Oryzias latipes: one gene and its partner. The protein of the gene in region 1 interacts with the protein of each later gene in a biochemical or structural test. Links are inferred from orthologs where the notes say so. Each region holds a gene or a part of one and is shown on either strand. Other genes may lie near its edges.

Region 1 (3,973 bases):
GTGTGCGTGTATGTTGGTATGCGTGTGTGTGTTTGTGTGTTTTGTGCGTGTGTATGTTGGTATGTATGGGTATGTATGTTGTGTGTGTGTGTTGGTGTGTGCATGTGTGTTTTGTGCGTGTGTATGTTGGTATGGATGGATGTGTTGATGTGTGTTGTGTGCGTGTGTATGTTGGTATGTATGTTGTGTGTGTGTGTTGGTGTGTGCATGTGTGTTTTGTGCATGTGTATGTTGGTATGGATGGATGTGTTGATGTGTGTATGTGTGTTGTGTGCGTGTGTATGTTGGTATGTATGTTGTGTGTGTGTGTTGGTGTGTGCATGTGTGTTTTGTGCGTGTGTATGTTGGTATGGATGGATGTGTTGATGTGTGTATGTATGTGTGTTGTGTGCGTGTGTATGTTGGTATGTGTGTGTTGGTGTGTGTGTTTGTGTGTTGTGTGCGTTTGTATGTTGGTATGTATGGGTATGTGTGTTGTGTGTGTATGTGTGTTGTGTGTGTATGTGTGTTGTGTGCGTGTGTATGTTGGTATGTGTGTGTTGGTGTGTGTTTGTGTTTGTGTGTTGTGTGGTTTGTATGTTGTTGGTTGTTGTGGTGTATGTGTGTTGTGTGTGTGTGTTGGTGTGTGTATGTGTGTTGTGTGCGTGTGTATGTTGGTATGTGTGTGTGTGTGTGTGTGTTTGTGTGTTGTGTGCGTGTGTATATTGGTATGTGTGTGTGTGTGTGTGTGTGTTTGTGTGTTGTGTGCGTTTGTATGTTGGTATGTATGGGTATGTGTGTTGTGTGTGTATGTGTGTTGTGTGTGTATGTGTGTTGTGTGCGTGTGTATGTTGGTATGTGTGTGTTGGTGTGTGTTTGTGTGTTGTGTGCGTTTGTATGTTGGTATGTATGGGTATGTGTGTTGTGTGTGTGTGTTGGTGTGTGTATGTGTGTTGTGTGCGTGTGTATGTTGGTATGTGTGTGTGTGTGTTGGTGTGTTTTGTGCGTTTGTATATTGATATGTATGGGTATGTGTGTTGTGTGTGTGTGTTGGTGTGTGTATGTGTGTTGTGTGCGTGTGTATGTTGGTATGTGTGTGTGTGTTTGTGTGTTGTGTGCGTTTGTATGTTGGTATGTATGGGTATGTGTGTTGTGTGTGTGTGTTGGTGTGTGTATGTGTGTTGTGTGCGTGTGTATGTTGGTATGTGTGTGTGTGTGTGTTTGTGTGTTGTGTGCGTTTGTATGTTGGTATGTATGGGTATGTGTGTTGTGTGTGTATGTGTGTTGTGTGTGTATGTGTGTTGTGTGCGTGTGTATGTTGGTATGGGTGTGTTGGTGTGTGTTTGTGTGTTGTGTGCGTTTGTATGTTGGTATGTATGGGTATGTGTGTTGTGTGTGTGTGTTGGTGTGTGTATGTGTGTTGTGTGCGTGTGTATGTTGGTATGTGTGTGTGTGTGTGTGTTGGTGTGTTTTGTGCGTTTGTATGTTGATATGTATGGGTATGTGTGTTGTGTGTGTGTGTTGGTGTGTGTATGTGTGTTGTGTGCGTGTGTATGTTGGTATGTGTGTGTGTGTGTGTGTGTTTGTGTGTTGTGTGCGTTTGTATGTTGGTATGTATGGGTATGTGTGTTGTGTGTGTATGTGTGTTGTGTGTGTATGTGTGTTGTGTGCGTGTGTATGTTGGTATGTGTGTGTTGGTGTGTGTTTGTGTGTTTGTGTGTTGTGTGCGTTTGTATGTTGGTATGTATGGGTATGTGTGTTGTGTGTGTGTGTGGTGTGTTGGTGTGTGTATGTGTGTTGTGTGGTGTGTGTGTATGTTGTTGTGTGTGTATGTTGGTAGGTGTGTGTGTGTGTGTGTTGTGTGCGTTTGTATGTTGGTATGTATGGGTATGTGTGTTGTGTGTGTATGTGTGTTGTGTGTGTTGGTATGTATGGGTATGTGTGTGTGTGTGTGTGTGTGCACACAGGTGTTGATGGACATGTTCCACCAGGATGACGAAGACCCCACTGGCTTCCCTCTGATTGACGAGGAGCCCTCAGCCAATGAGGATCAGAGTTACCTGGAGCTGGTGCGGAGCTTCATGGCGGATGGTCGACAGTACCTGAGACAGCTTAACCTGATAATTAAAGTCTTCAGGGAACCTCTGAGCTCCTGCCCCATGCTCTTCTCCCAGCATGTAGGTATATTCTGAAGGCACCGGCCCATCAGGACCGTGGAGTCACAGCAGTGGGTTTGGTTCTGCAGGAGGTGGATAGTATATTTAGTCGGATCTTGGACATCCATGAGGTGACAATGAAGCTGCTGGGCCTGATTGAAGACGCCGTGGAGATGACAGATGAAGGGAGCCCTCATCCTTTGGTGGGGAGCTGTTTTGAGGATCTGGCTGAGGTTTGGATTCCTGTTTGTTGATTGGTTGAATGTCTGGACAGAGAAGTTAATTACATGACTGTTGTTGACAGGAGCTGGCCTTTGACCCGTACGAAACCTACTCCCAAGATGTTCTGCGTTCTGGCTTCCAAGAACACTTCTTAAGTCAGGTGTCCAAGCCCGGGGCCTCCTTCCACCTGCAGGTAATCCCGCCCCCGACCTCAATGACAATGTACGAAATACTTTGATTCGAGTTGATCTAAAACTTGAAAGAATAAACCTAGTTGCCTGGCAGTCAGTCCCAGGGTTCCACCTCCTGATGAAGCTTTTGTCTGTTTTACAGTCCATCTGTGAGGGTTTTAAGGAGGCGGTTCAGTACGTTCTTCCCCGGCTGCTCCTCACTCCAGTCTATCATTGTCTGCATCTATTCGATATCCTCAAGGTGAGACATGGATCCTCTCCGGTTCCTTACATGACACTCGTCACTCATGTAGAGACTCGCTTAGAAGTCTGTTCTGTGGATCTTCAAACCACAATGAGTTTATGAGAAAGAAAGAACCAAACCAGTTGTATGTAAGACCAGCGTAAAAGACTGTAAGGGATTTTGATGAGATGTCCCTCGCTCTGCAGGAGAAACAATATTTACAGCAGGAAAACATGTAAGATGGCTATGAACCTGTTCCACTCAGTTTTACACCAGTTCTAATCCTGTATACATCCGTTCCACTCCTTTTACATTGGTTCTGCTCCTGTTTTACACTAGTTATAATCCTGTTTTTACATCGGTTCTGATCCAGTTTTACATAGGTTATTATTATGTTTTACACCAGTTCTGCTCCTGTTTATCATCGGTTCTGCTCCTGTTTTACACCAGTTCTAATTTTGTTTCACATCGATTCTGATCCAGTTTTACACCAGTTCTGAGCCTGAACCACGGTTGCTTCCGCATAAGGCGTTAAAAAGTAATAACGCACACTTCAAAGGCCATTAACCCGCTTGTACCATAGTCCTGTATCACTCCGGCGCAGTGATACAAAACATTTAAGCTAGGTGACCGGAACTTCTTTTTTCACCGTGCGGTTATCAGGTTTTAATGCACACCCAGCAGCCAATCAGAATCGAGGATTCACCCGGACCATGGCATAAGTAAATGTATGTAAAAACCAAAAACCAGCTTTATTAACTACTGATATAGAAACCCTTTTAGCTTTTCTTCTTTTTAAAACAAGCAGTTCCAACTGTCCATGACTGTGTGTTTGTGTGTGTGTGTGTGTGTGTGTGTGTGCAGACTGTGTGTGAGATGACTTGTCTGTGCAGTTCTTTACCATCAAATGTGTGATTCTGCTGTGGAGAACCTCTCCGGGTTTCCCGGTTCTACTGCAGACTGAAAACGAGCAGTAGAATAAAGGAGCTCCAGGGTTCTGCTGCTGGTGTTTGAGGGCCGTTCTTAGCCACGGCTCTCTGCTGAACGGCTGTAATCTCTTTTGTCCCAGCTCAAGTTTAATCCTCGAAATGCCTCCAGTCATGTTCTGCAGATTATTTTTGAACAGGTCCGAGGTCCGGGGTTTGGTTCTGATCTGAAACACAGGTGCCTCTTTTGTTGGCCTGGAACTGTTTAGCTTCAAG
Region 2 (3,973 bases), on another chromosome or scaffold:
AACAAACATTCCAGGCGAAGTGTTGTACAAATATAGATGAGGAAAAGAATCAAAGAATGCCACCCCCCCTCCCAAACCCCTTTAACCCTTTTCCCCTCCCATTCTATCCATCCCAAATCCCAATCTACACTCCCCGGCCCTCCCACCTTCCCAACTTTTTGATCTGTTTTTAAAGCGTTCTTATTGATCTTTTAATTATGATTATGCTGTTTTTAGTCGTTTTCTTGGATATAGTTTCTGCAGAGCAACAGGAGTTCATTGAAAAGTCGCCTCAGAGTTGTGGGCGGGGCCATCAGTGCAGGGTCCAGCTGTGCTCACTTTCAAATCTGCGCTTGTTTGCACCGTCTCCTGCTAGCTTACAGCCCCTCACAATCCCAAAGAGTTCATTAAAAAATGAACCTCTGCCAATTGTAGTATGTACATTTCTACTACAAGCTTTGTCAAATAGCATGTTTTCATCTGCTCCTGATTCACCACGTTTTGAGGAAAAAAATACTCAGAAAGAGTTTTAACCTTAATCATCTTTACCTATGTCCTCCATCATGAGAAAAATGCCTCAAGAACATGTTAAAAACAGCCTTTTCATTGGAGTGGGTGTTCTCTGATCTGCCAGAGGTTAGCCATGGACCCCCGCTGTAAGGGAATGCCTCTGTCTAGCTTCCTGCTCAAACCCATGCAGAGAGTCACACGTTACCCTCTCATCATCAAAAACGTAAGTGTGGTTTGTACAGACACACAAACACCACAGAGCTCTTCTTTGAACTGTTAGTGTTTCTACACAGATCTTAGAAAACACATCAGAGGCCCATCCGGACCACAGCCACCTGAAGACTGCTCTGGAGAAAGCAGAGGAACTATGTTCACAGGTGAACGGAGCAGGAGGCGCTGGTGCGAACAGGCAGGACACACACGTGCTCACGCTGTGTGTTCTTTCAGGTGAACGAGGGCGTCAGGGAGAAGGAGAACTCTGACCGTCTGGAGTGGATTCAGGGTCATGTTCAGTGTGAGGGTCTCTCAGAGGTGAGTAGCACTTTCCTGCCTGCTTCACCTGCAGCACAGTAGCATAAACTGAATCTGAAGTTTTCTAAAAAGCTGCATCTGTCCTAAAGCAACTGGTCTTCAACTCTGTCACCAACTGCCTCGGCCCACGCAAGTTCCTCCACAGTGGGAAACTGTTCAAGGCCAAGAGCAGCAAAGAGCTCTACGGCTTCCTGTTCAACGACTTCCTGTTGCTGACACAGGTGAGCCTGTGGTACTAAGGGTTGGCTGACCTCTGTGACCTGGGCCACCTATAATCACTGTTCCACCTGTAATCAGCCTATTTTCTTTGTAATAGAGTAAAGTGCCTCTGTCCTAACAGGTAATCAAACCTTTGGGCTCATCAGGGTCAGACAAAGTCTTCTCCAAAACTCACCTGCAGTACCGCATGTACAAGACAGTGAGTGCACACCAACCAACACAGGAGGAAGCTCAATCATTAGCCTTTCTTGACAAAAGTCTTTTCCTTTTCAGCCAATCTTCCTAAATGAAGTTCTGGTGAAGCTGCCGACAGATCCATCAGGAGACGAGCCTCTGTTCCACATCTCCCACATTGACAGAGTTTACACTCTCAGAGCTGAGTCTATCAATGAGAGGTAACGCCAAGGCTTTCATCTCTTAATCATTTTCAATTCTCCTAAATCAGGCAGCAATAGAGGCTTGGATGCAGCTGCTCGGTCATGGAAACCCATTCCATGAATCTCTCTGTATGCTGGACTTGGACTAATCTGAAGGTCACATGAAGTTTGGAGCAATTGACTGTGTAGAAAGTCGGTGACCTCTTTGTGCTTCAGCATCCTCTGACTCCGCTCCATCAGTTTGTGGTCTACCACTTGGTGGCTGAGTTGCTGTTGTTCCCAAACTCTTCCATGTTGTTCTGATAGAGCTGACAGTTGACTGTAGATTTAGGAGAGAGGACATTTCACCACTGGATCTGTGGTACAGGTGGCGTCCAATGACACGCGTCCAATGTCTGTGAAAACAGTCTGGATGACTGAGTGATGATTTGATACACCTGTGGCCAGAACAAGAGATCAGGACACCTGATACTGATCATTTGGATGGGTGAGAGTAGACTCTTGGTAATATAGTGTAAATGGCAATTACTCAGTCATTAGGTTCGTCAGAATAACCATTTTTGCTCTACAAACTTTTATTAACATCTTCTTGCTAACCCTTTTTTTCCTCATGATATTTTAACTGTTACTCAAGTTAGAAACTGACCAATCAGATGCCTCTATAAATGAAGGTGGCCTTGCGTTGAATATTCGAAGCATTTGATTAAAAAATTCTCCAGAGCCCACTTTCAGTGGAATGGGTGTGGCCTTCTAATATAATCACTCCTGACTAGAGAGAGTGGTTGCCATAGAAATTTAGACCAATCACAGCTTCACTGAGGACGTCTGGTTCCAACATAGCAACTGACATCGTGGATGGGGGGTCTAAGGGCAGGGATGCCAGTTCAGCTTAGTCTGTTTGTTAGTTCAATTTAGTATTTTCCACTTGAATTCATGTATTCATGATCCTTTTGAGTTTATGTTGAACCTTTTCAATTACCTATACGAAGCCCATCGAGACGACTGTTGTTGTGAATTTGGGCTATACAAATAAAATTGAATTGAATTGAATTGAAAAATGGCAACTGAATTGACTTAAGTTGGTAGGAGCCAGAAGCAAGGCATTTTCTAAGGGTGATGTCACACGTGGGTTGTCCAGTTATGCAGTCAGTGGGTGTAACATTTTGAACCAGCTGAAGTTTGAAGGTATAAAAACACCTACTTCGCTTGCTTTGGTTAAAACAAACCTCGGCCTATTTCCAATGGTGTGTGAACGAACAGTCATGCAAACTCTGCTCCAAACAAGTGCACCAAGACCCTTCTGAAGCATGGAGAACTGAACTGGGCGATAGAAAATGACTTGCTTCCAATGAAATGAAGAGGATAGAGTAAAACTTTATCGATTCTACAAAGGGGAAATTACCTAAGTCAGTTCACTCACCATTTTTTCAATACGGACATCACCATGTCGGAAACTATTATCATCAGTAAGCAGTGATTAGTCTGAGTCGGTCTAAGTCATTTCTATGGAAACCACTCTGTCCAACCCGAAGTAAGATTGTTGGAAGTCCACATCCCTACCATGTGAAAGCATGCTGGGGAGATTCTGTCAAACACATTGACTGTTCAACATGAGACCAGATATATTTACTGAGGCATCTGATTGGTCAGTTTATAAATTGAATAACTAGTGATGGTTAGGAAAAATCCTGAAAAAAATGATGATTAGGAAGAGCATGTTAAGGAATCTTTAATGACTGAGTAATAGCTTTTTATGTCTCTATAGGAGTCTATGGGATTTCAGCTTTTTGAGACCAGCAGGTACTTGATCAAACCCAACTTCAAATACAGTGGAACAAAACCGTTACCAAGTGTGAAAATAATCCCCCTGAAAAAGATGAGTAAGGTCTGTAATGTTCATCAAAGGCACATGACAGCCATTAGAGACAAAACAAGGGGGTATGTGGTACTAGAAATCACATTGTCTTTTTTTTAAATGGAATAACTAGTAAATTCATCTGGGCAAGATGTATTTGGTCTAATACAAACAAGCAAGATTTCTAGCTCTCACAGACCAGTAACTTCTTTAAAATGTTCCTCTCTCCTCCACTCTTCACACTCCAAACTCCACTATGGCCAAGATTTGTCAAAGCACACCAGATTCAAAATTGTAGAGCTGCACCAGGCTGGGAAGAATCTGCAGCTGTAATAGAAGATCACGGATAATCTCCCTCCTTCTGGGGCTCAACGCAAGACTGCACCCCACAGGGTCAAAATTATAACAAAAATTGGAGTGTAAAAATCCCCAAACCACATAGGGGGACTATGAGTAAAACACCACAACAACAGGCAATCCAATTCCAGACATGTCCCCTTCA

Evidence for each region. The genes of interacting proteins can lie anywhere in the genome.
Region 2: the proteins of sos1 (region 1) and itsn1 form a complex in vitro, tested with the Homo sapiens proteins (2 studies listed by BioGRID, with this or other methods). The link is inferred for Oryzias latipes from reciprocal best matches to the Homo sapiens genes SOS1 and ITSN1.

The regions. Positions count from the first base shown.
Region 1 is NC_019859.2:113,225-117,197, reverse strand, and holds part of sos1 (son of sevenless homolog 1), read left to right. Parts: intron 1-1,946; coding exon 1,947-2,156; intron 2,157-2,224; coding exon 2,225-2,368; intron 2,369-2,439; coding exon 2,440-2,550; intron 2,551-2,690; coding exon 2,691-2,789; intron 2,790-3,973.
Region 2 is NC_019873.2:636,618-640,590, forward strand, and holds part of itsn1 (intersectin-1), read left to right. Parts: intron 1-613; coding exon 614-712; intron 713-782; coding exon 783-866; intron 867-936; coding exon 937-1,020; intron 1,021-1,109; coding exon 1,110-1,241; intron 1,242-1,360; coding exon 1,361-1,438; intron 1,439-1,512; coding exon 1,513-1,634; intron 1,635-3,973. UniProt on the Homo sapiens protein: Adapter protein that provides a link between the endocytic membrane traffic and the actin assembly machinery. Acts as a guanine nucleotide exchange factor (GEF) for CDC42, and thereby stimulates actin nucleation mediated by WASL and the ARP2/3 complex.